Linked DNA regions of Arabidopsis thaliana. The protein of the gene in region 1 interacts with the protein of each later gene in a pairwise test. Each region holds a gene or a part of one and is shown in the gene's direction. Other genes may lie near its edges.

Evidence for each region.
Region 2: the proteins of AT3G12510 (region 1) and AT5G55690 interact in a two-hybrid assay, tested with the Arabidopsis thaliana proteins (one large-scale study listed by BioGRID).
Region 3: the proteins of AT3G12510 (region 1) and AGL26 interact in a two-hybrid assay, tested with the Arabidopsis thaliana proteins (one large-scale study listed by BioGRID).

Annotation. Positions count from the first base shown.
Region 1 is NC_003074.8:3,960,867-3,971,238, forward strand, and holds AT3G12510 (MADS-box family protein), read left to right. Parts: upstream 1-6,228; 5' UTR 6,229-6,260; coding exon 6,261-6,782; 3' UTR 6,783-6,956; downstream 6,957-10,372. Other genes in the region: CYSB (cystatin B), read right to left, coding at 80-225, 345-564, 810-1,010; HCHIB (basic chitinase), read right to left, coding at 1,635-2,182, 2,659-3,118; SULTR4;2 (sulfate transporter 4;2), read right to left, coding at 7,110-7,373, 7,460-7,536, 7,620-7,708, 7,796-7,934, 8,030-8,081, 8,239-8,355, 8,466-8,507, 8,637-8,764 and 7 more.
Region 2 is NC_003076.8:22,545,538-22,556,230, reverse strand, and holds AT5G55690 (MADS-box transcription factor family protein), read left to right. Parts: upstream 1-6,136; 5' UTR 6,137-6,160; intron 6,161-6,585; exon of another isoform or gene 6,586-6,587; 5' UTR 6,588-6,607; coding exon 6,608-7,441; 3' UTR 7,442-7,524; downstream 7,525-10,693. Other genes in the region: AT5G55720 (Pectin lyase-like superfamily protein), read right to left, coding at 1-184; Tic20-V (TIC 20-v-like protein), read left to right, coding at 607-1,236; BAM4 (beta-amylase 4), read right to left, coding at 1,529-1,681, 1,768-1,836, 2,060-2,129, 2,230-2,483, 2,597-2,756, 2,831-2,908, 2,991-3,211, 3,456-3,702 and 2 more; AT5G55680 (glycine-rich protein), read left to right, coding at 7,870-8,496; AT5G55670 (RNA-binding (RRM/RBD/RNP motifs) family protein), read left to right, coding at 9,430-10,693.
Region 3 is NC_003076.8:9,452,587-9,463,601, reverse strand, and holds AGL26 (tRNA (cytidine(34)-2'-O)-methyltransferase), read left to right. Parts: upstream 1-4,380; 5' UTR 4,381-4,411; coding exon 4,412-4,681; intron 4,682-4,758; coding exon 4,759-4,827; intron 4,828-4,901; coding exon 4,902-4,960; intron 4,961-5,078; coding exon 5,079-5,139; intron 5,140-5,210; coding exon 5,211-5,264; intron 5,265-5,373; coding exon 5,374-5,652; 3' UTR 5,653-5,911; downstream 5,912-11,015. Other genes in the region: AT5G26890 (uncharacterized protein), read right to left, coding at 2,886-3,137; AT5G26865 (AGAMOUS-like MADS-box protein), read left to right, coding at 5,921-6,301; LON1 (lon protease 1), read right to left, coding at 6,971-7,153, 7,242-7,892, 7,968-8,069, 8,193-8,360, 8,502-8,615, 8,748-8,852, 8,955-9,085, 9,167-9,291 and 8 more.

The DNA of each region.
Region 1 (10,372 bases):
AATCTGACAAGTTCTCTATTGAAATTCATTTTGTGCAATTAAGATCGAAGATAGAGTATATAGTAAATTAAAGCCATACCTCAGCTTTAGCATGCACAACCTCCAGAAGTTCATAAGGGAACAAGGAGTTAGACCTCTGCTGAATGGTCTTGACAGCCTGCTCAGCAACATGCTTCACTTCTGGATCATCTCCGGGAACTTCCCTCCATCCAGATTCATGTTCACCTGATCCACAAAACCCAATTTTCATAACCAAACTCTTTCCTAACCCACAATCTCTGACTTGCTACATATATATCCCCTGACATTATAATGTTCTTATCAGTAACTACTCAAATTCACACCTTGCTTGCAGCCAAGATCGGAGGAAGTGATAGCAGGGGCATCACTGGCAGGCTTGAACTCCTGTAACTCTTTAAAGTTCAACCACGGCTTGACCCACACTTTGGCTTCGTAAAGCTTCTTCTGTCCTGCCTCGAGAATCTCCAGAGTCAGGTGATGCAGTGTTCCGGCTACAACTTGTTCTTTCGCCTTCACAACTCTCGCAAACTCAAGAAGTGCATTCTACGACGACCAAAGACAGAACAAACCAAAAAATCAATCAATCAATCAATCCCACAACATGAACGCATTTCATCACCGAATAATATACACTCTCTAAGATCTGCTGGTAACTGAAATTGAGATCAATAGAGAAACTCCGGACAAAATTAGTCTAATCGTGTTCTGGATCAAGACTATAATAGCATAAAACACACATATCGAGACGAGAGATGTGAAAAAATCGAAGATGATGAGAGATTTGGAACCTCTTTCTTGTTGTGTTCATCGACAGCGAAACGAGCGAGGCTCTCAACCTCACCACTGTTCTGATTAGCAGGGACATCGCCAACACCTCCGACTAAAGCCATCTCTTCGTTGCAGAAGCCTAAATCACTGGCGATCAGAGAGGAAATGAAGAGGGATAGAGAGAAGAAAACAATGAAGAGTAAGAAACGGCTTCTCATCATTCTCACCTTTATTTGGTTCGGTGCCCTGTATTTTTAGATATTTTTCGTTTTACTCGTCGAATTGTTGATTTTATCCTCTACAGTTAATTCGCCGTGTACCGGATTAAGGTGTCCATTTGGTTTGATGTTGGTTTTGTTGGTACAGTTTTAAGTTTAGGCTCTGATTTATGAAAATATTCTTACGATTTAAAACAAAAAAGGTTTACATTTGATTGGATGCCAATTGAATCGAATCATTTGTAAGAAAAGAGTACCGATTCGAGTTATAGATTGGTTTGATTTGGCCTCAATCGGTTAAGCTACCAACATTTTAAATAGAAATTCATACCAATCTGGATTACACATGAAAACGTTGCTGAGGATAGCGGCACGTTATACGAAACGTGTCGGCAGAGTCACACAGAAATTGTCAAACACCTTTACTTGTAATCGAAGTTTAAAACATCTATGCACCTTTCTTCGTCTTTCTCTCATCTGCTAGAGAGCCCAATTAAAAAAGGCCCATGGGAAATAAAATCGCAACATAAACAGTGAAACATCATTGGAAAGAGTTTTATTAGTCTGATATTATTGTTTTGATAATACAAAGCTGCGTATTATATTATAATAATAATACTCTCGTTACTAAATAGCAGCTTCGAGGAGGCCGTTAACGAAGGATCTTTGGTTGTAACAATCAAGATTACCACCAGGATTAACACCAAATATGTTACAATACCTCTGATAAAACCCTATACGATCGGCGACTCTCCCGTCTTGGCCACGTCCACACTCCAATCCACCGTTAATGATGTTCGTAATCACTCCATAACCCGGTAATCTCCCGGCGGCACGGTCGGCGTCTGAAGGCTGCCACTGGCCGGCTATCACGGCATGGCAAGACGGTTTGGGAGGCTGAGCAGTCATCCAGAACCAAATCGCGGCTTTGAAAGCGATCACTGCGTCGTTGGCAACAAGGTCAGGGTTGTTGAGTAAGTCAACTCCTATTGCTCTACCGCATAGACCGTAATTGTAGTTCCACGACAGTTGCATTGGTCCTCTTCCGTAGTAGCGTTTGCCAGATGCGCATGGCCACGTGGCGCTCGGTTCACAGTAGTCTGAAGCAGGATTCTGTTCTTGCTTGAAACAGTAGCCCCATGAATATGGTCCGTCTGGTGCTGTAGCCCATCCACCTGCACGACGTAACCGTCCACTTAATTAATTAGTATATAGCTATATATATAGTCACAACTCACAAACTTGACATTATTCAAAAGTGTATAATTTGGAAACTGGAATATTCGTAAGTTCCTTGATTGGTTATTTGCGTTTAGATTAATCAAGAATTTCATATTTTTAAAATAGTTTTTTAATTGTAAACGCAAACATCTAAGACCAAAACATTTTTCTTTGCGTTTGGCGTTTTTGTTTGATTTTTTTCTTTCGTTTCTAAATATGAGAAGCTATAATTTTTTCAATAAAACATATATATATATATATATATATATATATAGTATAGTAGTTCTTTGTATATATGAGCACTTGGATCCAAAACTCTTTACAGAAGAAAAAAAGAACTTCAAATTCTGATGTTTTAATAATAAACACCAAAATTTAGCAATTGTGTTTTGAAACAATCTCCGTCAAATTGTTAATGAGTTTTGGGTACCTGTAGTTTCATGGGAAGTCTGGCCGAAGAAGGCGGCGACCTCCTTCTTCCTCGTGGCGGTGTCTCCGGTGGTGCCAAAACCGGGGAAGGACTTTGCAGCGGTGATAAAGGCGTTGTAAGTGTAGAAACCTCTAGCAGGACAAGCGGCATCATTCCTATGCTTAAGCATATCATCGAACTGAGAACTTGAAATGATGCCCGAAAGATCGCCGGTGGGTCCAGGAGGAGTACCACCGGGAGTGCACTGGCTTTGGCAGCCAGGCTGCTTACAGTATGGTTCGGTGTTACCGCACCAGCCGAACTCGCTGCAGCATAGACCGTTGGGGCAGAGTGCTCCTCCAGCTTGGCGACCACATTGCTCGGCCGAGGATAATGATAGGAGAAGTGAAAAGATGAGAAAGAGAAAAAGATTAGTCTTCATTTTGTTCAATGTTCTATGGTTTTCTTTTTGTGGAGGCATGAAAGATATATATAGATCCAATTAATGAATGTTTTATCACATCAAATTCTATCTTTTTCCATAGTTTATTGTTTGTTATGTCTATGGAGTGTGGCTATGGGGAACAAACAGTATTTGGTAGGTTTGTTTTTGATTATATTTATTTTCCTTCCGTCATTGTTGCTAGGTTAGATATTGATTTGTTTTTTTGGGGGATTATCATGTTAATTCCAAGTAATGAGAACTTTCTATGTATGAAACTGTGCTAAATGTTGGTAGAAGAATACAAATTTTAGAAGACCAAAAGCATAACAAATTACACTCTTTTTGAGTTTTTTGTTCTAAAGTTACTATCGACGTAGATAGTGGGACACAAAGGTCGTAAAATTTTGGGTGGTCTGAAAACACGTTTACTCGAGTTGCGGACTAATCGATGATCTGAGCTAGTGTGCACTAATTAATCAAACACACACATATTCGGATATTCCCTATGATGTATACACAATACTTGACTATATCTAAGACAAGATCACAAGAGTTGCATGAATAGTCAAGAAAATGTATAACGTGGAGAAAATAAAAATAGACGTGTCTAAATATTTAACTATGATCAATGTTGACAAAAACAAAATTTAACTTTAATTATGAATATGAGGCGGCGGGTTCGTGATCAACTTTTTCAAAAAGCAATTGAGACATTTAGAATTCATTATAAGGTAACGTATAGCATTAGCCAGGTAATGATATAATGACTCAAGACCAAATCATACCAATATTTAATATATTCATTATTCCAACTACTCATGATGACTTTCCCTATTTCATAATGTTTTATCCAAAGTACGTGTCATGTTTACAAACTATATAAAATCCAAAACCTCGACGAAACCTGCGTGCTATTCTTATGTACTAACTATGAAAAGTAACGTTAATCATCGTTGACTGAATCTCTAATCTCCAATCTCACTGTGGGCTGCGTTGCCGTCTCTTTCGGGTAGAAATAATCGACCATGGAAAAAAATAATATTGTAATGTGAATATATTGGCAAATCCTACAAAATACATTTTAAATGTAATCTTAATTTTTGTAATTAATTACATGACAATACCATTAGAAAATTTTAATCAAAAATAGAATCTTTTAATGACATCATTAAGATTACCAAAATCATTTAACGACAATATTCATCTCTTAATTATAGGGCTTATTGGATTTAAAGACGGGTCATCAAAGATTTCCTAAACTGAAGCAAAATATACCGAATATTCAAATATCTATCTGTTACCAAATTATAAACAAATAAGTTCGTAAAACAATTTAATATTTTATATACGAAATCAATTAAAATCTTAATTACAGAAAAATTAGCATAAAAAAATATGGTACATTCGGGTCTATAGTATTTTTGCAAGACTTTTTTGGTGGATTTGAGTAAAAGTGCATTCAGGTCATATAGTACATTCTCCTATTAAATAAATATGGTGCACTCCTATGTTATTAGCTAAAATGTTTAGATTATAATTCAGAGTCATATCATAAATAAATTAATATTAATAAAATAAATGGCTTTTTGGCAAGACGGATTTGGAGGGATGGGTTTTTGAATCAACATTAATAAAAAAGTAAAATCTAATTAATCCACCGTTTTAATACGGATTAAATTTTTAATTTATTATTTTTTAAGACTACTAATATTAAATATATCAAATCATCCTAATTTAGAAAAGATTATATAAAACAAAAAATGTTACGTGGTATGTATAATGTTACTATATATAAAATTAAACTATAAAATATAAATGTATTAGAAAATGATACAATTTACAAAACTTTTATATATAATAAATAATTCTTAAATTTTTAAAATTACTACTTTAATTAAAAAATTACGGGACGGGTAAAGAAATTATAGAACGAGTTTTATTTTGGAATTGAGTTATATGGTGGATGTATTTGAATCAATATTTATAAAATTTTAAAATATTATTAATATGTTGTTTTAATAGGATTAAAACTTTAATTTTTTAATAATTGTCTAATGGATTTCGTAGTATAACGTTATTTAATAATAATTATAAACTGTAAAATATAAATATTTTATAAAAATAAAATTTGCAAGTTTTAATATATATTACTTTTTAAAAATAAATCATCCCGCGGTATACCGCGGGTTAAAATCTAGTTGACTTTTATTCCTGAAAACAATGAAGAACCAAATCTAGGCAGTTGCATCTGATTCTGATCACATGGGATCATTAGGTGATATATCACACACACATCAAGCAACAAAAAATAATATGTTCCTCGTTTTTGGAACGAACAATCTCCACATCTTGTATTTCATGGACATGCAACGATGTATATACTACTTGAACCACTAATTATATTAATAATTCACTGATTTATTTGTTACCTAGCTAAATTGTAGTGTAATTATATTGTTATTCTGGAAACCTTTGTTGTTATCCTACCTAGCAAACAATTTATGTTATGACTCGAATTAGGGAATGGATTGAGATATCAGATTGATTAACGAACTCATTTTTCTTTCGTGCTTCACATAAATATTGTTGCGTCTCATTTTTACATGTGTGTGCATAGGGCTTAGATTAGTTAGTCTATTCAACTACAACATTGACTATGATTGCCTAACATTAATGCATTTAGGAAGTAGAATAGATATTCAGTTTTTTTGGTGTAACTACAGAAAAAGTTTGATCATTAAAGGCTATTGGATTTGCCCCAAAAAAAAAAAGATGTAAGATCATTAAGCCTATTGGATTGGGCCGGAGATCAGAAGATGTTAAAATCAGATTAATTTTGTTTTGTTTTGTTGCATTTAACAAAATTCCAGATCGTTTCGAACTTGGTTTTGGGTAAACATTTAATTAAAATTATAATAATTAATTAGTTACTGATCTTATCTTAATAAAGTAGATATTAACCAATTTGTAAAGGAAAATTGGTAATTCAGATTTTTAATTGAATTGGGTTCACACGCAGCATCATCTCCACCGTACACGTGGATGAATCAAGGACCATCGTCGATTTTCGATGGGTTTTTTCCGCTTGGAGTCGGTTAGTGACGTCTTTAAGAAGAGAAGAAGCTTATAAAAAAAAAATTAAGAACAGTGTGAAATCAAAATTCGAAACGGTACAACAATGGGAGATTCTAAGAGGCAAAAGACGGAGACGGAGACGAAGATGGAGATGGAGAAGGTAGAGAAGAAGGAAGCATCAGGATCTGTTAATTTCGCAGAACTACGCGACGATCTCTTCCGCGAAGCAGCGAAACTTGTCTCCGAAGATCCCTCCACCAAAATCGCCATCTTCGTTACTCCTCCTCCTTCTTCCTCCGAATCGGACGTCTCTATGTTCTCCTTCGGCTTTCCCTCTGTCAATGGCGTTGTTAACACTTTCCTCGAGAATAATCCAGCACCAGTGGATGATGCGGAGGAGGAAGATGAAGACGAGGAGGATGCGGAGGTTGAGCACCCAAGGTTTTGGTGGGAAGATACTAAGCAATTCGAATCGATGAATCCAGAGCAATTGAACGCTGCGTGTCAGAGGATGCTGAGGCTGAAGGAACGTTTGAATCTCGAACTTGACGCTATGCTGAAAGCTGAAGCTTCTGGAAATCAAAAGGATCCTCACAACGACAAAGCTGCTGACCCCAAAACCTAAAGGCGCTCTCATGCATTTTCATGTTCTATCTTTTAGTTTAATCGTTTTGATTTCTATTTCTATGATATTGCCCCAGATGTCCCAGGATTGGTTGATTTGATCGTCTTATGGATTATCTCTGTTGGTTGCCAAACTATTATTCTATTCTTAACATCAATAAATCTTATGACTTCCAATTTTTATTGTGCTTTTCTATACATTACATAAGAAATAGTTTTTTAAGGTTGAAACAGAGAAATGGGAATCATATTTTTCTCAACCAAAGTGAATGCTTTATTTGATACATACATTACATTATTGTAAAAAGAATCGAAGTGTTCAATGTCTCTATTTCTCTCTTGACAACAATGGTTCCTCTAAAACTATGTTCGATTCAACTTCAGTGTAGGTCGATGAGTTTTTCAGGCCGCTTCTTCTCCATAAGCTTGGTTTGCTGCTTTCTTCTACATCTGTGGGTCTATTGACGTAATGAACACAAACTTGGACTGCGTCATGTACTCTCACGAAGAACCATTCTTTGCCAATAAGTTCCACAATGCCTGCTCTTGCTAGAGTCAAGAGAACCTCTTTGTTTGGGTTCGAAATCGCTAGCTGATCCATAGAAAACCAACTAATCATCAAGGTATTGACAACTTAGAAACAAGTACTAAATAATGATGATGATATCAGGTTTGCACCTGAATGCCCCTTGTTTTATACTCCTCGTACAAATCTTTTAAAGCTTCTACAGCGCTCGAGTCGATGTATGTGACAGCTGCGTTACATCCCACCCATTGTCGATTAGATTAATCACCTCTGTAAGTTTCGAACTGTGAATAGAAGAAACATTGGACTTACGAGACATTTCCAGGATAACAAAGTAGATCCTCTCCATATCTGGGCCCTTGCTTGTGTGTTTGTCGATAGCAACTTCATATTCTCGTAGCCTGCAATTTCGAAACATGGTGTTGTTGTGTTGATTCTTTATGTGGATCATAACAGAAAGCAAGTCAGGAACCAAATGTCAATTTCACCTGTCCTTGATGTAGCTTATGTTGGCAAAATAAATGGGAGCATCGATTCGAACAATCACAATCCCGTTGTAAGTGTATGCCTCTGGATACTGTTTCATGTTTCTGTACACAGTGGTCCCTGGAAGACGCCCCAAGACAGCTGCCAAAACATATGTAATGGTATGTGATCAAGGATATGAGTGAAAACCATTTCTGAGAAACAAAACAAGCAAATTGAACAGAAACTTATCTCACCTATATGAGGGTTTGCAGACTCGTGTATAACAAATGCAAGTGAAAAACCAACCTGAAAAATTCCAAGCATTACAACTCTGTGAGTCCTTTAAAAGCGTTGCACAATTCATGTAGGTGGTTATACTACTTTCAACATCATCACTCCTTTTAATTTCAAAGAGATATGATCAGCTACAGAAATAAAGCTGAGTGAGTATGAGCATACTCACACCAATGAGGACCCCAATCTCTATTCCAAAGAACAAAGTGGTGGTGCTAGTGATGGTCCAAAGAGTAAAATCTCTCTTGTCCACACGCCACAGAAAGATTGCCCCTTCATAGTCCACCTAATATGGTAAACATCCAGAAAGAATAAATGTGAATATATATTGCTCAATAACCAAAGACAATAAGTACACACCCCAGATTCTTTTCTGGTGGGTTTATTTGAACTTACCAAACCACTAACAGCAGAGATAACTATTGCTGCTAAAGCACACTGCGTAGTTGAGAAACAGACAGGAATTAGAAGCCAGATTTCAGTTTTAAAATTCTCCAGAGTTTCAGACTAAAAAATAAAAACAAGAGAGCACAGGACTGGAATTAGAAATACTCAACACAGACCTACCTGTGGTATAAATTTGAACATTGGGGTCAAGAACAGTAGAGAACATCCAATGATGATTCCTGTTACAAGGCCTGATAGACCAGTCTTGGCTTCACTTTCGCTATTCACAGCTGACCTAGAAAAGGATCCTATGACACATTTAGGGAATTAACAGATACATCAAATTCAGGCTACAACTTAGAAAATATTATCACCTTTTGTTTTGAATTTATCATAGAAAACACACATTACATGTTGTCTACTAATCTCAACAGTCAAGATTACGTACCTGTAGTTGGATATGCAGAGAATAGTGACCCAAATATATTTGCAACGCCAAGACCAAACAACTGCCAAGTCACGGGAAAAACAGACAGAACTCTCAATGACCATAAGATGTAGCCATTAAAAGAACAAGTTACAACATTTAATGGTAAGAATTGGGCTAGCCGCTTGCACTTGATTTTCTTTATTCTCTAGGGTTTATACCTCTGAATTTGAATCCAATTCGTATCTATTTTTCGCGGCTAGTGCTTTCGCAATACCTACAGATTCCTGGATAAGTCGAACTAGCATATCAGAAAACACAAAAACATGCGCATACTGCAGCTGAAACTAATCAAGAAACTCCACTTCTGCTTCTCAGGAAGTCAAATTACTCCATGTCTCAGCCATATCCATCCATTTACAGATTCTCATGATTAGGTTCAGCTGCAACTCACGTAAGTCCAGGAAAAAGTTAATGACAATGATGTCTCACCAAGATGGCAACACCAGTAATGAGAGCCGATGTTGGAAGCAGTAATTTGGCATGATCAAAACTTTTTGGGAAAGAAAACTTTGGAAGTCCCTGAGGTATATCTCCCACCTGAGAAATCCTAAAAACTTTGCAATCAATTACGGAAAACACTCACAAAAAATGTAGCTTCAATAGGGAAAAATATAAGAATTTCATTCTTTAGCAATCTGACCAGTGTGATGGAAGGTGGATGGAACACTTTTGCAATGATTGTACCAAGAGCAAGACCTGTGAGCGGTCCTGCTGCTCGTATGAACCGAAGTTCCTTCTTTGCTTTTCCCTGCCGCAGAAAATGATGCCTTAGCATAATAAAAGTAAGGGAACATAAGAAGTATCCTAATGACACACTGAAGAACAAGGCTCATACCACATGCTTCATTACTAAAAGGATCACCAGAATGGTACATCCCAACAAGAAAGGTGGCCACTTAAACTACAAAACAGAAATTCAGATGAAGTTATACAAGTAAGGCATAGAAGGTATGTTGAACCAAAAGGAATTGCAACACCATTAAGAATCTGAAGACCAGACCTGATCAGCTCCAGCTATTATGCTATCAATTACTGGCATAATCTTGCTGCTCCGAGAAACGCTATACCCTAGGAAGTATTTCAGTTGGGATAACCCAATTACAACAGCTGAAGCAGTTGTAAATCCAGAAATGACTGAGTGACTTATGAAACGAATAAGCCATCCAAGCCTGGGTTGAAAAAACAAACGAACAACTTGTTCTAACACTACAAAAAATACAGGATTCCTTGCACAAACAAAGAGAAGACTATAAATACCTCAAGAACCCCATAATGCTCTCAAATATTCCGACCATAAGAGCCAACAAAATGGCAAGCTCAGTGTATAATTCTTCAGATGGATCAACAATTCCACTCAAGGCATTAGAAACGAGAAGGGAAACTAATGCTACAGGTCCAACTGCAAGCTGACGGGATGAACCGAAGA
Region 2 (10,693 bases), on another chromosome or scaffold:
TCCAGTTTTCGTCGCATCTCCAACACTCATCGATTGGATTTCCATTGGCTGAGCAAGAAGACGCTGTTGAATTTGATGTCACTGTCGTTGATAGTCTCCTTACTATTGGCGGTTTAGGAATCGCAAATGCAAACGCAAAAGAAGTGTTTAAGAGAAACAAGAAAAACGTACATACAATTGACATTATATGTTGTCTTAAAAAGAGATTAAAACCAACTAACAATTTCACTATGAACATTATGTTTATAATTTGCTCCAATATATATATGCAAGAGACATTGAAGTGCACTAAAAAATAAATACGGAGGTAATTAAATTAGGTGAAAATTGAAAGAATTGGGTCCAATACAAAGGCATTACGCCGTTTTATACCGGTGGATTTTGATATTTAAATATACACAAAAAACAAAGACAATAACAGAGGCTATTTAATTGTTACCTTACTTCAAATAACTACGTACCGTTTTATCATATTAGAAAGATAAGAAGACGACACAATGTTTTAAGCTAAACTTTTAAAACAGAGTGGAGTTTAGTTTATTATCCTCTCATCATGTGTTAAGCAGTCTTTCAGTTTTGTGTGAAGTGAAACAAAAACAGAGCAAAATGGCAATAATATCTCAGTTTTTTGCTCCATTACCATCTCTCACCGGAACCCTAACCCTAACCGGTCGTTCTTTTCTCCCTCTAAACCTTGATACCCAATTCCCAAAACCTAGACTTTCCAGGGACAGAGCCGCCACACTCGTACTCCAATCCAAGGGTGATGATTCCGTCGATGCATCGGATCGGATAATCTCAGCCGTCTGTTACTTCTACCCATTCTTCGATGGGATTCAATACGGCAAATTCATCATCACACAGTACCAACCTTTTCAGATTCTCATCCAACCTTTGTTTCCCGCCATCAGAGCTTTCAAGAGCTTCCCTTTCAATGGGTTTCTTATCTTCATCACTCTCTACTTCGTCGTTGTGAGGAACCCTAATTTCAGCAGGTACGTCAGGTTCAACACGATGCAGGCGATTGTGCTTGATGTGTTGTTGATTTTCCCGGATTTGCTTGAGAGGAGCTTTAATCCTAGAGATGGGTTTGGTTTAGATGTGGTGATGAGTTTGGACAGCACAGTGTTCCTCTTCTTGCTTGTCTCTTTGATCTATGGATTCTCTGCTTGCTTGTTTGGTCTGACCCCGAGGTTGCCTCTTGTTGCCGAGGCTGCTGATAGGCAAGTCCTTTGATTCAATAATATCTTTGTATGTAACACATTTGCTGTGATTAAACCTTCTGTATTGGATCGCTTTCTGATAATCAAAACATACAATGTAACTTTTTGATCCAATGAAAAAGGTTTCTGCAAGACTTTTGCAATAGAGATAGAACAAAATGAAGAATAGAAACAGAGAGAGATTTTATCATATAACAATTTTTGATTTGATTAGTTCTCCTCATCACATATCTGAAAAAGCAATATGGTGAGGAAAGATCGATTCTGTAACAAAAGACAAACACACCAATGGGTGGTGAGTGTGTTTACATATCTGCACTCATCTGTCTAATGAAAGGGACAAAGTTGTTCCAGTTCTCGACCCTAAAGATCTTCTCATTCATTCTGCAAAACGTAAATGATCTTAGAGTGTCGCCATTCGGTTGCACACAGTTCTCTCGTATTTGCCTTAGTCCCATCTGTTGCAGAATTCATATAGAAAATGGTTAATAACCACCACTTTGACCTCAGACGTATAAGACTAAAGCATGTGCAAATAACTCACCTCATCAAATCTTTCGCTTGTGTTTCTACCAGTCACATGTATTGTCCACTTCTTCGAAACATCATGTATCTAGCAAAAGAAAATGTGATAATGCTGATTTGTTCATGTTCTTATAAGGCATGCTTAATTGTCTAATGTAGCAGCGCAGTAAGAACACAGAGACTAGACTAGTTTGAAGTGTCTCTACGGAAGTAAATAGTGCTTCAACAGTGACCGGTCTAAATACAAGTAACATACATACTTCATATGAACATAATTGAATTCTGGATCAAGGGTTTACGAAAGAAAGTACCTGTCTACGTAATCCTTCAGGGCTGCAAAGATATTTCTCAGGTATTTCACTATCTGCCATATCCAAGCAGCTGAAAAGATATGATAGATTCTCTCGTTAGTGAAACTGGACCATGCAGCTTCTGAGAATTATGTACATAGTAAAAGAAAACTTCAGAAAAAGGCTCTCACGGGATGTTGAGAGCAGCACCATGACGAGACAAGACGGAAGCTACAGGATCATAACCATCCCTGAGGGAGGTGTTGTAATAACCTGCAGTTAGTTCAGCGGGGTGTGAAGATGTCTTATACCACCAATAGATTCCACCAATTTTTGCAACCAGCATTACAGAGCTTTTCTCTTCTTCCTGACGTCTCCGCAAGACATCGGCTGCCTTTGCAAGAATAGCATCAGCATGACAAATCAACTTCCCACTGTACCATTCCTACAATGAAAAGCAGTTCACGTTGTTATCTATAATCCAGCCTACTAGCCACTTTTATATCATAACAATATATTATATCAGAATCACCAAAGAGGCTATGATATAGAACATACTAGAAAGAAACGACCATAGTCAGAGAGAAAGCTATCATTGCCCTCCTCAAAGAACGGAACTCCAGATGGAAAGCTATTATAGCAGCCGGTATTCGGAGGATCTCTGCTTCCCCATTGAGGTTTGCCTTCTTGGGATGCCACTGCCATCAAGTCTTCCATCCTAAACCAAGTAGTATAAATCTGTAAGTGTGATTAGTACAGGCAAATACAAATTTTCAATAAATAAGCACTCACATGTACTTGTCATGGCATTGGAATTCACCAATTCCAGGAAATTTCCACCTCCCATCTCCAGAAGGATGTGCAGGATATCTGCAAGAGATAACTGTGTAAGAAACTCCTATTGTAGCTATTGTGGCTTTACCGGTGGTAGTCCACAGAAGATCAGAAGTACCTAAGCTCCCCCGAAGGACCAAGACCTATACTTATTTCTTCAATCACATTCCCAAGATATGGCTCAAATTTTGTTGAAAAACTGAGCATAAAATCTTCATAGCATTGAACAGCAGTACGGCCACCGAACAAAGGAAGTTGATCGACTCCAAGTGTGAGATAGTCATTGTTGGAAAATCCGCTTTTATCTCTATAGTATATGTCCTTATTGACGTCTCCAATCTGGAAATTATAAGGTGAAAAGCAGTTGAGCTAAACTTCGTAACAAAGGAAAGCATTCCCAACGACAACATAATCAAGTTAGCATCTATGATTGTGTAACAGAAATCTATAGTCTCCAAGGTTTCATCAGAAAAAGTTCTCAACCTTAAAAATATTCAAAGGAAGAAGAAAAATCCGCATCAGGCAACCTTCTATCTCTACCGCAAACAAATAACTAAATACCTGTAATTCTAACAATACCAACCTCTCGGATCCAGAGTGGAAGACTGATGCCTCCTTTCCCACCAAACAAATGCATATTTGAATGAAAGCAAAGAGCAACATGTAACTTCAACCCTGCCTCAGAAATCAGTCTAAAAAGCTCTTCATACAGTGACCATTTAAACTCAAGAGGAGAGAAACGCTCTACAATCCCCCACCAAACCTCAACTGCGATTCCATGAACACCAGCTAACTTGAGTGCCTTAAGAGATACAGTTAAAGCCTTGAGCCTGAAACAATAAAGATAGATATATCATTTACTAAAAGAAGAAACTAGACTTGTCTTGTTCTGAAAAAGGAATTATACTATATTTCATACCATGTAAGGTTATATAAATCGGGTACATTGAAACATTTCAAGAAACTTAACCTTTTAATCTTTGGACACCCAGAAGCATCAATTCCAAATGTATCAATCGGCATCATCACAAAAACTGGAACTCTCTTGTGCCTTGATGATACCAACACAAACGATCGTGATTTCTCTCGAGCATCCATGCTATTAATCATGTTCATCAACAACAACAACAATTCGATTAAAAAATCACTTAATTCCAATCCAATTTCACTCGCAGACAACTAATTTCTTCCCCAAATTGATTCCACTAACGAAAATGATGTAATCGATTTCCATTTTTCATGAATTTAACAGCGAGAGCGAAACTAATTACCTAAAGATTCGGCTGTTCCCGGCGACGGAACGCAACTTAGTGATGAAACGACCGCGTTTGAAAGGAGGAATCATAGAAACGCTTCGGAAAAAGTTACGATTACGCTTTGTACTCTGCTCGAGGAAACAAGATTTCAAAGAAAATCCTCCGGGATGGAAGAAATTGCCGCCGGTGACTCCGCGACAGCCACATCCGATTACTCCAGTCTCCGTCATTTTCGTTTCTTCTCCTTCGTCGGAGATATTTCTCAGATGGTTTTAGATGCGGAGGAAAAGAGACGGAGATGGAGTACTTGAAACGCAAAATTCTATTTCTCTTTTTCTTTTCTTTTTAACGACCCAAAATTTATTTGGGGCTTTTCTGATATATATACTGAATTTTTAAATCAAGAAAATTATCAACTTTATAATTCCTTCTTGACCCTATACTTTTTCCTTTATTGCCTTTATTTTCTATTTTTTGCCCGTATGTTTTAAATATTTCTATAATTGACCCCAACTTTCGTTCTCTACTATATACCTCGTGCCTACAATATTTAATTATTTATAGGAGTATAGGTGTTTTTATGAAACAAATCAGTGAAATTATCAAAACTAATTAACGTTTTACTTGTTGAAGTTCAGGAGATGATTGAGATTACATTTATTTTATTATAAAAATCAGAGTTGATTTTTTCAAACTGGTGTTTAATGTGTAACATGGAAACAAGTTTAAATTTCTATTATGACTGACTTATAATTGAATAATAAAACTATGAGGACTTGAATAGCATATAGTCAAACTAATTGTACTTTTAGATGGTAATTTTTTTATATGATATTAAATATCCATTGAATAAGGTTTTTTAACAAAGAAAATGGAATTAACCATTTTGCTGACGTGGAAACATATCGTCCCTTAGTGGATAAGCATGTAAAATATCCCATTAGAACATATCCCATGCTACTCGCCACCATCAACACTGCCTATTACCAATTATAGTAGTGAATTTGGCATATAAATAGTATACGAAAAATGTCTCACATATTTAAGTTAACCTATTATTTCCGTCTTCATTGTCATATAGTTTGATCAAATTAAATCATGGGTCCACGATATGTCACGTTTCAGTCTCGTAGTACTACTCATCAAGTGGCAAAACTTTGTTTATCACATATAGCTGATATTTATTCGAATGTGAAAGATAATAAAGGATAAAAAAACAAAATTTCAAAATACGCACTAAGTAATAATTGCATGGGACATTTTACAAGTTCTAGTCATTTTTTAGTTACATACCAGTGCGTATGAGCATATGGTGATTGGTGAAATTGTTAAATGTATATTTCAAAGGCTATGAATTACCGATCAATCGATCAACACCAACAGCTACTAGTAGTTTAAAATTTTATGAAACAAATTTATTATTTGTCGATGTCTCCTAGTATTATATTAAAATGAACTATCGAGTATCAGTACAAATAGTCATCACAGAAGTGTGACAAACTTACGACAACAAACTTTAATCTTTTTTCTAATTTCTATACAACCAAACTACCAAAGTGGCCATGAAGACCAATAAGAACATTGTTGCAACTTGCAAACGGAACCTCAGCCACCTCCGGCGCCAAATTTCCGTAAGAATATTAACAAAGTTTTCAATTAAAGCAAAAAAGGAATATTTGAGAAAATTAATTGGCACAAATCACAAACAAAATCTTCTTTCTTGATCATGCTGTAATTACAATGTTTTCCTTTAACTGAACTCTTATCACTTGTGCGTGAACATAGAAACTAAAGATTTGTATAGCTTCGTCCTCTTTAATTCTACTCGAAAACATGGAAAGAAATAAAATATCAGCATTGCTACCGTAATTTAGGGGAGGAAACAATATTCGAGAATAAACCATATATTCTTTACGACAAAAAAAAAAAAAAAAAACATATATTCTTTTTTTGCGTGTGTCTTATATAAACACAGAAAGAGGAACTCCATTGTTAAATCAAGAAACTTCAGAAAGTAGAGCTCTTAAAGAAGGTATTATATACATTCTTTTTTTCTTCTAGTAATCACTCTGCATTTACTTTATGTTAATATCCCATCTGTTTTACTATTCGTGTTAATCGTATATGGATTTGGAATTATGCATAGGAAGCTTGACAAAACGATAAGGATTATGCTTATTAGTGAAAAAATTGAGAATAAAATAATATGAATCTTTCTTCCCTATACATTTGTAAGGCTTACATTGCTATGAAATGTTAAAATGTAAACCTAAAAGCTATATGAGTTACAAATTTTTTATTGACAACAAAATGTTTACTAGTATTAGTGCTTTGGTTGTAAATTTGTAGTGTTTCTGTATGTTTTGGTAGCTGATCGTTACATCCAAATGATGATATTACTATTTCAATTTTCAAGATTATGATCTATTGTTGTGTTTTACTCTTTTATGGCTTTTTAGATTGAAGCAAAGGTATCTGGATGGGTCGAAAGATGGTAAAGATGACGAGGATAACGAACGAGAAAACGAGGATAACGACTTACAAGAAGAGGAAAGCATGTTTGTATAAGAAAGCCAGTGAGTTCTCAACACTCTGCGGTGTGGACACTTGTGTCATTGTGTACGGCCCGAGCAGAGCAGGGGACGAAATGGTCATGGAGCCCGAGTTATGGCCAAAGGATGGGAGCAAAGTCCGTGAAATCTTAACCAAGTACAGAGACACTGCGTCAAGCAGCTGCACCAAGACATACACCGTGCAAGAATGCTTGGAGAAAAACAACACTAAGGTGGAGAAACCGACGATTGCGACAAAGTATCCTACATGGGACAAAAAGCTCGACCAGTGTTCTTTAAATGACCTCTATGCGGTTTTCATGGCAGTAGAAAACAAGATCCAAGAGGCTACGAATAGGAATCAGACATTTCCTGACACTAGTTGTTGGTCTAATGACCAACTTGGTTTATGCGGTTACAATCGGCAATGTTTTGAGCAGTATCAGTTGTTTCCTCTGCCTACTATGGATTACAACGGGCTCTCTTTCTTCCCTTTTAATAACCAGATGACCTCAAATACTGCGGAAGTGTCTTCCTTCTCGAATGTGACAGAGCCGATGATAGCGAACGGGCAAAGCTTGTTTTACGGGAGTTGTTCGGATGGTCCATATGGTCCGATGGTACAGAGGACAGCTTATATGGAGCCAATACATTGGGGTTTAGGAAACAGTATGTTCAACAATGTGAAGCAGTTCCAAGATTATCCCTTCAGGTTTGCACAAGTTAATGATTTGGAGGATTCAAGTAAACTTTCTATGTGAGAAATGTCATTTGTTTCTTCCGTTTGAATGTTGCTTTATAAACTTCTTTTTATCAAGTTTCTATTAAGTTTGTTGATTTTTTTCATAGCTATATCATGGAATAAGAAAATGGTGTTTTTACGAAAACATATTGTACTAACAAATATAATCTACCAACATTAATATACTATAAAGTAATCAATACAAAACAAGTAAGTATCTTGTTCATTAGAATTACAAGATATACTGAAGAGTCTTCTTATAGTCTGACAAAAAGCTAGTTAGCTGGAAGAACCAAAGTGGCTACTAAGATCAAAAATATGCATAGGAGATCATGTTGAACGAATTTAGAAGCCGACTTGGCTCCGGCGGGAACCTCAGCAGTCTCTGGAGCCAGATTCGCCGTCGCTGGTGCAGAACTACTCACCGGACCTCGTCCGTAAGGAAATATGTCCGGCGTATTCGCTGGAGTTGATGGAATATCAGGGGTTGTTACTGGCGATGTTGCTGCGATATATGGAGCATCGGCGGAGACTGGTGGTTGGTTTGATGGGGTGGTGGCAGGCGATTCTATTGAGGTGGTGGGACTTATCATTGGAGCAGAGATTGGAGACTTCCCTGGAATTGTAGTGGGAGGGGATACAGGGGAAGTTGCAGGCGTAGAGACAGGAGTCGTGGATGTAGTCGGAGAGGAAACAGGGGAAGTCACCGGAGATGAAACAGGGGATTTCAGAGGAGACGCAATGGTACGAGATGTAACAGGGGAAGTCGCCGGAGACGAAACAGGGGATTTCAATGGAGAAGCAATGGTTCGAGAGGAAACAGGGGAATTCGTCGGAGTAAAAACAGGTGATTTCGATGGAGATGCAGTGGTCCAAGATGGGGAAGTCGCCGGAGAAAGAACAGGGGATATCGATGGAGTCACAAAGGCCGCCGGAGAGGAAACAGAGGATTTCTCCGGAGACTTTGAAGGCGATGTTTGCTTCGTCGAAGATGGTGCCTCTGGAGATTTTTGGATCACCGGAGGATGTAAAGTAGGAGTTAAAGGAGACTTCGACGGAGAAATAACACGATGAGATTTTGCCGGCGGATGTAAAGTGGGCGTTTGAGGAGACTTTGTCGGAGCCTTTAACGGAGAAATAACAAGATGATGAGATTTTGCCGGAGGATGATGTTTCACGGCGAGTCTCGGCGATTGAGCGGGTGCATTGGCCGCTTTTACATTACCAGAAATGGAAATTAAGAAGACAAAAATGTAAATTACAGCAAACCGACGCATCGTTTTTCTTGTTTTGTCTGATTCTGGGAAAGATAACAAAAATCCAAAGTGTTCTGATTCTCAGTTCTTAGTAAAATAAGTATTTGCAAGTTTCGGTTAATGGATTTATTATAAGAAAGAGAATTATTTTAAACACGAAACGTTGTGAATTGTGATAATCGAGAGATATATGACCGTTGGTGGCGCCTGTATTGTCGGAAGTGAAGTAGCCGTTAACCGGCTAAAACCGGTTATTATGAGACGACAGGAAGTTTTATTCAGAAATGATCAGACGACGAGTCGTTTAATAAGTTTTCGAAAGTTTGAACGACAGGTAGTTCACATAAGTGAGCCCATTAAAAGCAAGCCCATTTGTTCTGGGTCATGAAACCACGCGTATTGGATTGTTGTTAGTTCTCGTAAATTCGGAAAACACGTGTCATCTCTACACTAGAAAAAGGCTCTACAATGCGCGACTGTGTACGGTGCATGTTAGTGAAATTAGTTGGATTCCATCGAGGAAAAAAATAATTTTAATTGTAAAGAAATCAAAAAAGAAAATCCAAGAAATTTCACAAATCTACCGGATTAGGGTTTCTAGCAACAGGTCCTGTCTCCGGTGACAAAATTTCTGCAAAATCTCTTCTTTTATTGAGATTGTTCATGTTCGAGCGAGTGATAACGTAAGCTTGTGATAAATCTGATTCGAGAAAGGAGCTTTTTTTTTTATCACAAGGAAGAGTCTTTTAAGATGGATGAGGGAGATGGGAGAGATCAGATGGATCAATTTCATCAAAACGAGGCGATATCTGCCGTTGCTGACGACGGGTTTATGGCGGAGGAAGAGGATGATGATTATGAGGATCTTTATAACGACGTTAATGTTGGAGAAGGGTTTCTTCAGTCTATGAAAAAGAACGACGAAGCGGGATCTAGAAACGAGGAAAAGGAGAAGGTTAATATGGAGGAGGAAGATAGGGTTGAACCAGTTTTAGGTGAAGCTGAGGTTTCGATTTCGATACCTGGTTTGGTTGGTGAGAGCGTTGAGAAAGAAGCAGAAGCAGAGTCAGGAGGAGGAGGAAGTGGAAGTGGTACTGATGTGGTGGTCGCTTCTAGTGGATATGGAGCTCAGGAGGTTAAGGTAAGCGATGTTAGCCAGGAGATTCCTGGTGGAATTGGTACTGGTACTGGAGGTGGGCTGAGAGTTGAGCTAGGGCAAGCTTCTAATCGGGCTAATGATCTCGAGGCACCTAGAGGGAATAATATTTCGCAGGGTCTCTTGCCACCACCGCCTGTGTTGGGGAATAACGAGAATTTGATGAGACCTGTGATGGGTAATGTTAATGGCGGGATTCCTCCTGGACCTGGTAGTAACATGGTTGGGAACGGAGCTAATATCGCTATGCCTGGTGTTGTTGGCGGGGGAACTGGTGGTGGAGGAGGCGGTGGAGCTTTTCTTTTCGTAGGGGATCTGCATTGGTGGACAACTGATGCGGAGCTTGAGGCAGAGTTGTGCAAGTATGGTGCAGTGAAGGAGGTTAAGTTCTTTGATGAGAAAGCTAGTGGGAAGTCGAAAGGGTATTGTCAAGTAGAGTTCTATGATCCTGTGGCAGCTTCGGCTTGCAAAGATGCGCTGAATGGGTATCCATTCAACGGTAGGCCTTGTGTTGTTGAGTATGCGTCCCCATATTCGGTTAAGAGAATGGGAGAGGCACAGGTGAATAGGACCCAACAGGCTCAATCTGTAATTGCACAAGCTAAGAGAGGAGGGCCTGCTGATCCTCCAAGTAAACCACTCGTGGCCAACAACAACAATAACAACAACAACAACGCCATTGGCGGGAATTTCCAAGGTGGGGAAAATAGAGGATTTGGTAGAGGTAATTGGGGTAGAGGCAATGCTCAAGGAATGGGTGGTAGAGGACCAGGTGGTCCAATGAGGAATAGGCCTAATGGGATGGGTGGAAGAGGTTTGATGGGTAATGGTGGGTTTGGTCAAGGAATGGGTACAGGGC
Region 3 (11,015 bases), on another chromosome or scaffold:
TTCGAGCAGAGACAGAGAGAAGACAGAGAGCGAAGAGTTTTGTTTTGTCGCTGAGAGGAAAGCGAATGAAATAGAAAATAGTGGGAGCAATTTAGGGTTTCTATATTACAGTGTAGAGGACACTTTTTAAAAAGTATTTACGCGATTATACACTTTTCAAGGAATAGGTATTTTGTATGGGCAATTTGACTTATTTACCCTTTAATTACATAGGTTACAATCTTTTTGTCTCTCTCCTTTTTCTATTTTTTTTTTCTCGAGAAACACAAAATCCAGCGGAAGATGATGGTTGATGTGTTTGCTAGAATTACGACTTGATTTAAGGATCTATACCCTGATAATTTTGTTGTCTATGTGTTTATTCATGTAATTGTAGTTTCATGCGTTCTACCTAAAGTTCATTCAATTGCTTCAAAACCTTAAAGTTTGCAGGGTTTTTTTCTTTCAGTTATTCGCTTGTTAGATCTTAGAATTTCAGAGACCATAAAATATGGAGAACAAAGAAGCCGATGTCACAAAAAAGAAAGAATAAGTGAACGAGCGACCGAGTGAAGGATCTCGTGTAGCAGTAGAAGCCGCGATCTCGTTTCTCTTGTTTTTGGTGGCAAATCATCAGTCGTTGTTCTCCCACTTCTCTGATAATCACAGCGGCGAGAGTACAAATCTTGGGCTTCTCTAATTAATGTTACGTTCTCTTATATAGCACTTTTCTCAATTTTCAATTGATTTTTATTTCCTAAGAGTAAACGATTTCTCATTTATTCTATATCGGTGGTTTCAGATTTTAGCTTGAGAGAAAGAGAGATAAAATGGACGATGTACTTTGAATTGGTGTTTGAATTGGTGATTATCATTCATGTATAAACTTGTGTATTGAAATGAAACGACCTCATGAGTCACTAGATTACCACATGGACTAAACCGCTTGGATAGTCATCAATGGACAACTATGTCTTTGATTTGCTGCAAATGTATTTTATTGATTGGTAAAATTATCATTTTTTGTATGGTTTAGAGTTTTGTTTTATGGTTTTAGATTTAGTGGAGAAGGATCATGGGAGGGTTTGAGTTTAATTTTAGGGTAAGTAAATTAGGATTTAATGTAAAGCGTAGAGGGTTTACACACTCGTATGAACCATTTTTGAATATAATCATATGAATATCACCATAGGAATGATCCTATATTTTACAGCTCTTACGTTGAAATGTTTTATCTGCACAAACAAATACACGAAAGATGAATAACACCAAATCTAAACATTGTTCACCAAAATCAAATAAAAGAACACTTCATTAGTTGGATAACATATCTTCGAAGAGTAATGGACGGATTCCTTTAGCTGACAATCGGCAAGTACGTGTTCATATATGATTTTTAGAAGTAGAGTTGTATCCATGAAACATAGACCAAATGGATATAGTGTAAGAAATGAAGGTGTATCCACCTAGCGCCGAACAAATGGATATACATTTTCGTGTTTTCTCATAAACTTTTCTTGACATCCATGAGTCGACATAAGTATGGAGTTGCCAGACAAGACACTGGAACTCACGGCGGCCAGCGCAGCCTCATGGACCAAAGTTTCAAAAAAAGCTCATAAACATCAACCAATCTTCTTGCATAACCACCACATACCCAGCCTTATGCGTCCAATCACTTTCCGTCTACGCAAATGACATCCAAACATTTTTCAATTCAAAAACAAAGGCAACAAATTCAACAGATCTAACAAATATAAATTTAAATTGAAGGATAAAATCATAAAATTAAGAACACATAACATAAAAAAAAAGTTTTAAGATTTACAATCTAAAGCCTAATCTAGAATCAACGAATAACATGTAACATTGGCCTTTATGATTCAAAACCAAAGAAACCTTTTACCCAAAAAAAAACAACGAAACCAGAAACCATAAGTAAGACAAGAGAGAAGAACATGGAACCAGAAAAAGAGGGAGATTAAGGGAAGAGGGAGCTTTGTAGCAGAGAGTAAGGATCTCCTTCTTCTTCATCTCGAAAAGGAGAAATCGATGATGTTACTTTTTTTTGTTGGTCACAGTCGTTCATTGATGGAGGCTGCAGATAATGAAATGGATTTGATGACGGAGAATGGAGAAAAAAAAATACAAAACTGAAAAAATAAAGGAAATTTAGGGTAAACATAGATTGTGATTGTGAATTTTGAGATAACCTCAGAATTTTCATAATTTTGTAAAAATTATTGAGAACGACTATGATTTGAAAGAGGGATTGAAAATGATGAAAACAAAAGAATATGGAAGGGATAGATGATATAAAAAAAAAGTTTCTCACCCACACGATCTTATTAAAAATAAGTTTAAAAATTATTGTGTTTTCACCACTTCAGGGGCAAATTAGTCCAATCTCCTCTCAAAAAGATGGCAAAGTGTCTTCTCCCTCATAAGTGCCTCAAACGTAAAAAGATTCTCACAAAATGCCTAATAATGTCACATTCCCTTTCTTTTTTGTTGCTGTCCTTAAATTAATTATCAGTAATTACATTTACTACAACGGTTAGATTGATATTTGTAAAATCGGATCTAATTTAGATTTTCTCTATGATATCAAACATACAAAGCATTTTTATGAGGGAAATTAAATCTAGAGGATATCTAAAAATAAATTGTCCATCTATTTCTTTTTCTTATAAATTAATCAAATAGGTTTTTCAAAAAAAAATAAGTCTTATTTACCCTCATTTTATTTTATAATTAAAATTTCCTAATCTATTTATACAAAAGAAATACTAGTTTAAAGTAAAATTTTGAGAACCTAAATCCTCTAAATGTATTAGACTCTTTCACAAACCCTATCTTTTGTCTCTCTTCCTCCTTTACTCGATTAAAAAAAAAAGCATTCAGCTCTATAATTTTTTTTCGGGCGAACTTACTCTCCACATGTCGCAGGCGATTTCTTTGCCATCTCTGTTGTCGTCGTCGCCGGCGATTTCTTTGCCTTCTCTGTGGTCGGCGTCGTCGTGTCCAAAGTCACCTGAATCTTCTTCATCACCGTCGTGACCACTCATCTCAACCTCCCTTCCTTCTCCGCCACCAAAACCGCCAAAGTCCGCCTTCAGAACGGTGTCGCCGCCGCTCTCTTCCCTCACAGGTCTCATCTCTAAGAACTGTTTCGATTTGTTAAGTTCTTAGAATCACTTGGTTGGTTCTTAGTCTTTTCTCTCAATTTTGTGTCTCATGAAGTGTCAATTGCAATTTGCATGTTGAGCTGTTAATTTTAGTTGCATGTAGATTTAATAATTCAAATCTAATAAATATTTATTTTCTTTTTTCAAAGATTCACTTTTTATATCTATTCTAAATAGTTTAGAAACAAAAAACTAATTTGGGTTAAAATATAAATTCTAAAAGTGAAAATTTCTAAGAAAACGTGTTCTAGTGTTTTCAGAAACTATAGAAATTCTTAGAATACAATTTCACACATAGTTTAGAACATGAAGGAATTTTAGAATACATGTTCTACAATTTTTAGATATTGAATATCCTATTTTCTAAGATTGTTAGAAAGAAAAATAGTCTAAATATTGTAAAATATGTACAAAATATTAGAATAGAAATTCTAAACTTAATAGATTACTAGAAATCGTTTTCTAAAAAATTTAGACAAAATTTTATCTATCAAAAAATCAATTTTTGTTTAACTAAATAACAATTTTTTTTTTTACAAATCAACTATATTCTTGTAGATCTACATGTTATTAAGGTCAAACTTTTTCAAAAATGCTTAAAATATAAAGTAGGGGTATTTTGGTTCAAATTGAAATTTAGCAAAAAAAGGTTATATAGACAAAAAAAATTGTAGAACTCTTTTAAATTTAATTTCTCCGTGACTCAAAAAAAAATTAGGAGTTTTTACTACAATTATTGAAAAACCCCAACGGTTAGATTAATATCAGAACCGTGTTACATAATTATCAGAGTTTATTTTCTCTTTGATGAGCTATATTTTTTTATTATTTTTTTGTGTGTAAACAACACAATGGGTTCTTCAATGTGAAGACAATAATTAAGGGTTTTTGCTTACCTTAATTAATTAATTAATAATTACCTTACGACGGTTAGAAATAGGATCTAATTTTAGATTTCATCATTAAATGAAGAAAAGATATGGAAATCAGTATGAAATATGGAAATCGATCGAATTTAAAAAATTCTATATAACCCGATTGTATGTTTTCTTCAAAATGTAAAATATGGAAATCGAATTTAACATGTCAACTTTCACTACTTAAGTTGAAGTAGTACCCTTAACCCAATTCATCTTTAGCGATTAGATATAGTATTGAATGGGCCTAAAAGTATCCGGCCCAATTGATTAATATCTTATTTGACGTCGTGGAATCTGCGGGCGGCGGAGAAGGGAGGCGAGGGAATGGAGAGTTGCTGTCGGAGCGTCATAGCTTCAAGGACGTTTCATCTGCGGTCAAGTGGCCGTCTATTTCCCTCTCTTAGCTTAACTCATCTCAAGGGCAAGCTATCTCTCTCCATCAACTCGTTTTCCTCCAAGATTCAGTCTCATGCTCTCCGAGGAGTTGGTATAGGCGAGTCAGATAAGAAAAATCCCCTGCCGCGAGGGGCCGGAGAAGGAGTCAAGGAAGATGCGAGGAGTAAGCTGCTTCATGTAGTTTTGGTCTCTCCTCAGGTTTGCACTCTCACTGCTACCTTTGGTCTTCTTAGTACATGTTGATGGATCTAAACAACTTATACTCTCCTTGACAGATTCCTGGGAATACAGGTTGCATTGCAAGAACATGTGCTGCCTCAGCTGTTGGTCTGCATTTAGTCGGGGTAAAGTAACCAAACACGACTTGTTCATTATTTCCAGTGTTGATGACTTAATCTGTCATTTGTTCCTGCTTCAGCCATTAGGTTTTCAAGTGGATGACGCCAGAGTTAAGCGAGCTGGTTTGGATTATTGGCCGTATCCTACCTAATTTGTCTACTACATAGGAATTGAGAAATGAGAGTTTACCCCACTGTTTTTGTGTTAAGGTTTAGTCGCTGTCATTAGCTCTTCTTCTTCTTAACTTAAAGCATAGCTTTGTGGTTGTCAAAGCGCATAGCTCATGGGCTGAGTTTCAAGAATATTTCAGGCTTCAGGTTTACCACTTGTCCTTGAGTAGCTAAAGTCCCTATGTGTGTGTGGTGTCTGATATTTCTCTTTGGTTTAGGAGGGAGAAAAACGAATGATAGCTTTTACAAAAAGAGGAACAAGGATACATTCAGTAAGTTGCTTGCTTGTCCTTCCACCTCTAGTTTATTGTTTACCAACCAGAAATAGCAACAATCACTAGCAATTGGGTAGCTGAAAACAATGGTTACAACTTGATGCAGGATTTTTCTTACCGATCAGGCGATTACCTCTTGTTCGGGTCAGAGACAAGCGGTCTACCTCCTGAAGCGCTGTCAGACTGCAATCACGAACCATATGGAGGGGGGACCCTACGTATTCCCATGGTAGAAACGTATGTGAGATGTCTGAATCTTTCGGTGAGTGTAGGGATTGCTCTGTATGAAGCGTCCAGACAACTTAACTATGAGCAAATCGAGTGTGCACCTCAAGGCTGTGTGAATGGTGAAGAACCATTGTTGACAGAGGATATCTTTGCTTGATACATTGGATGGTTGCAAAAAGGAAGACGGAGACGTAGAGGCATAGCCATTGGTGGTTGGTAAGCATTCATATTCATCTTGAAGGAGTCACTACCCTAAACCCTATTGTATCTGTATCCCAATTCTCTCCTTCAGAGTTTATTTTCTCTTTGAGAACAAGCTAAAAGCTTAATTTTTTTCCTATCTCTGTGTAAACAAAACATCACAATAGATTCTTCGATGTCAAGAAGAAAACCAAATTTTCTGTGAGAAGAAACCAAACTTGTCTATGAGAGAAGATACAATGTTTAAGAAAGCCCTCGAGCTTTCAACTCTGTGCGATATCGAAGTCTGTGTCATACTTTATAGTCGTGACGGAGAACTCATCAAGACATGGCCGGAGGATCAATCCAAGGTTCGAGACATGGCAGAGAGGTTTAGCAAACTACACGAGAGAGAGCGACGCAAGAAAAGAACCAACCTTTCTCTGTTTCTACGTAAGAAGATCCTCGACAACAGTAAGCTCTCGGAGAAAGTCTTAGAGATGAAGGATTCATTAGAAAGTGGTCTACGGGTACTACAAGATAAGCTTCTGTTACTACAACCCGAGAAAAACCAGACCGAGTTAGGTCAGATCCCCGTCATCAACAATGGACAGAACCATTGGTGAATATCGGTGTGTCAAACACAGAGCAAGACCTATCGACGTCACCATTGAGTCAACATCAGAGCAAATTTTCAGTCTTTCTCTATAACCATGACAACTGTAGCTTCTATCAAGTCCGTGCCTCTGTTTCTACTTCAGATATCAGATTATATGAGGTTAATTGTCTGATGAAGAGTTTGTGTTGAATTGTATGTTTTTCCTAAGTATGAATGCTATCTTCTCAATCCTATTTTTGTCTGAGTACGAACTAAGAATATATATACATTTCATTACATAGTTTAATAGTCAAATTACCCATCATCTAATCCAGTAGAAAGGAATATAAAACAGAAAATTATGCCAACAAGTTACTAGTCTGTTATGAAGTGTGATCGAACACATAGCAACAGTGAAAGTAATACGCGAATATGTTGATGAAATTACAAGCACAAAATGAGAAACAACTTTGTTTTTTTTACTTTGTTCTGATGTCTTATTATGATATTTGGCTTTGGTTATATACCAAAATAATAAAATCCAACCACCAATAAATTACCCTAATCATAAAAAAAAAGTTACAGAATAACTTTCTTCTTGAAGGAAGAAAAAGATCAAAGAGAATCAAGAATGGTAGTGTTGTTTAAATGGAGACAACAACAGATGACAAAAGGTCAACGTGGCTTATGTGTGTTCTCAGTCTTCTTGTTTGTCATAGCCAAAGGCAAGCTCGAAGATCTTTCCATAGTCATCCACGAAGTGAACATTAAGCCCTTCTTTCACATTCTCTGCCAGCTCATCAAAGTCTCTCCGGTTTGCCTCTGGAAATATTATTGTTTTAATCTGACTCCGCCTCGCCGCTATAGTTTTCTCTTTCACCTGTAACATTTTTGTGTACATTGTCAAAAAAGGAAAAAAAAAGAGAGGCTCTAATAGAATAGAGTGAGAGAAGTCCGGAGTTACTTACCCCACCAATAGGAAGAATTCTTCCGGTTAGTGTGACTTCTCCAGTCATTGCAAGGTCCTTCCTAACGGGTTTCTTCGTGGCAAGTGATAGTAAAGATGTGATCATGGTGCAGCCTGCACTTGGACCATCCTTGGGAGTGGCTCCTGCAGGAACATGGAGATGAAGCTTGGAGTTTGCAAAGAACTGATTCTCTGGTTCTTTCTCTAGCATGATCTTTCTGGCGACTGTGTGAGCAATTTGTGCACTTTCTTTCATCACATCACCGAGCTGACCCGTTATATTCAGGCCACCTTTACCTTCCCCTTCCTCCACAACAGTCGTCTCTATGTACAATGTTGAACCACCCATTGATGTCCAAGCTAGACCCATCACAACACCTACCGGTGTCTGCTCATAGAGCTTCTCTGCATGGAATACCGGTTTTCCTACATAATCCGCAAGGTTTGACTCATCAATCATAACCGTTTCAATAGCTATCTTCTCGGTTTGGGCCTCTTCCTTTGGTTCTTCAGCAGAGGACACAGTGTTTTCTTCGACAGTATGATTCTCTATGGATTCGCCAACATCAGCCACGATTTCAGCTTCTTCAGGATCACTTGCAACTGCAGGCTCTTCGGGGACTGCTCCTTCACGCACTAATTTAAGTGCAATCTACAACAGAAAAGTAAATGGTGTTCGACATTGAGGGCTTGAGGAATCAATTCGGAGTCTTGTAGCAAAACTTACCTTACGGTAAATCTTCTCGATCTGTTTCTGGAGATTCCTAACACCTGCTTCTCTGCAGTAATTTTCTATCAAGGAAAGAAGCGCTGCATCACTCACCTCAACCTGCATAGTACGAACAAATTGACGAAATCTTAGAAGTATGTGATTCATTGATAATCACTCACTCATTTTAATTTACCGAGAGTTAAAAGAAGAGACAATTGGAGAATAGGATGAAAGTGAGACCTGTTCAGGCTTGACACCACAATCTCCACGTGCAGTTTTTTCCAAATAGTCTCTTGCGATATGAACTTTTTCATCAGTGATATACCCAGCAATAGAAATCACCTCCATTCTGTCTAGCAAAGGATTTGGAATCATGTCTATCACATTTGCTGTGCACACAAATAAAACCTGTAGGGAAATGGATCAGCAATTAAATTCAATCGGCCTAGTATCACATGAAACAAAATGGTATTCATATCCATCTATTGGTGGACAGAACATCATGAAGAAAAGAAATACAAAATTTGGTCCTTGACCACATTTAATTACCTTTGATAGATCTATAGTAACGTCGAGATAGTGGTCCAGAAAATTTGCGTTTTGCTCTGGATCCAGAAGCTCCAACAAAGCACTGGCCGGGTCACCAGCATGGCCTCTCCCCAGCTGCAAAGGAACAATATAGCAATTTATTGCAGAGAAATTTGTCTTTGGTAACTAGAGATTGAAACAGTATTGTACTGATGAATAAAAGAAGCTACCATATGATGACAAATATCAAAACAAAAAATATATTACCTTATCAATCTCATCGATTAGAACAAGAGGATTTGCTGTCCCCACACTCTTTAGACATTGCACCATCTTTCCTGGCATGGCGCCAACATATGTCCGACGATGCCCCTAAACATGTAATTACAAGAATGGTTTTTTGTTTCTAGGAAAGAATTCAGTCACAAATGTTTGACTAATATTTGCAAGTATACCAAAACAAAGGTATTATACCTTGATCTCAGCGACATCTGCTAACCCTCCAACAGAGAACCGGAAAAATTTGCGATTAAGAGCACGTGCAATAGACCGCCCAATACTAGTTTTGCCTACTCCAGGAGGGCCGGAGAGGCAGATGATTTTCCCTGGGGACACATTTACTCAAATTTAAGGGGACAAGTTTTTTTCAACAAGATCAAATCACAATTACTGGATAAGTATCAAACCTTGTGAAGTGCCTCTAAGTCTTCCCACTGCAATAAATTCCAGTATTCTTTCCTTTACGTCAGATAAGCCATAGTGATCCTCGTCAAGAATTGTTTGCGCCCGTGCAACATCAAAGTTTTCATTACTGCAAATTTAACAAAATAGATTCCTCAAATCAGTGAACACAAAAACAAATGGTGCCATGAGATGAGAGCTCATCCGTCTCTATATCAGTCTCTCATACCAAAAGACTTACTGCTTTACTTAAACAGAAAAAAAAAAAAAGATATATGAAAAGTAAAAAACCTGTAATTTCCCCAAGGCAATATGGTCAACCAATCAAGGTAGTTACGCGTCACGTTAAACTCGCTTGAACTCGCCTCTAACAGCTGCAGCTTTGTAAGCTCTTCTTCTATGACTTGTAATACATGCGCTGGAATTTTTTCCTTGTTAGGCTCAATCCTTTCCTTAAACTTTGCTGCAGTAAAGAACAGACTATAAGTTGTGGTTGTCATACAATTAACAGTGCACGGCTCTCCAAACTCATACCAAAGACACTGACGTCTCATGAATGCATTGTGATCCATGAGGCAGTGAAATTCTAAATTTCTAACTAGGATATAAACTGACTACATGTAATTGAAGATAGTTTAAGACTTTAAGTTCGTACTGACCAGAAAGTGCAGATTTGTCATCTGTCTCCACACCAAGCTCCTGCATTGGATGACTTAAATGAATCAAACCAAATATGTATATATATTACACAGACATGGTATGTGGATGAAAATAGCAAGCATATTTTGTGAAGCGGGCTGAGTAATACCTTCTTTATAGCCTTGAGCTGCTCATTTAGCAAGTAACGACGTTGCTCACCGCTAATTTTTTCTTCAATTGCTTTTGCTATGGTTTCCTATAAAAGGCTCAGAAGATAAGAATCTTATCCCATTCAAACAGTTACCGGATAAGTAGTCCCTTAGTGGGAAAGACACAAGAATAAGGGAATGAAGTACCTGTATCTTGCTAATTTCCATTTCTTTTTTCATCAATTCCAGCGTCAACCGCAGACGTTTGTGAACCTGGGTCAATAAAAACAGAGATGAGAGATTGACCAAGAATCATACAATTACAACAATAATGAAGCTCCTTACATCCAGTTCTTCAAGAACTTCTTGAGCTTGATGCCTATTTGCGCCACATATCGCCGCTCCAAAATCAGCTAGTCGTGGATAAGTGAAATCACCTATATGCTACACAAGTTGAAAGACATCTACTAAGACACTTGTACCCTGAGACCTTTTTACCAGAACAGGTGAAATTATGACAAGAACATGCCTGGGTATATGTCTGAACGTGATCTCTCCATAGTGAACTTGTCTTCAGTACATCCCTAAGAGTTGAAATAACTTCAAAAGATGTTGCCTTGACGACATCATCGTCCATGTCAAACGGATTATCCTGCACAGAGAGTAAGAAAAGGTTCCTGACTTCAGAGTTTCAAATAGAAAAAGCAAAATCAAAGTAGTCTCATATTATAAGAGGAAAAGCCTAAAAGCAGAAAAATGTACCTTAAGATGATCGACTTTGACGGTAAGTGGTTCTTCGCTCACCTGTATAAAGGAAAAATTTCTCCCTTAAACCAAAAGTGTCTTGATCAACCAAAGAACAGATGTGAAGATGTACTTTCGAGGATTTGGAACTTTCATGGTTGAAAATTCTACAAAGTACGAACGCTGTTATACCGACTTACCATCTCTTTTATGCGAAGTCGCCTGTGACCAACAAGGATAACTTGGTCTCCTTGGATACTTGAAATCTGGAAAATCAATAAGGAAATCGTAATGCTAGTCATGCTTTTTAATTTGAACAAAT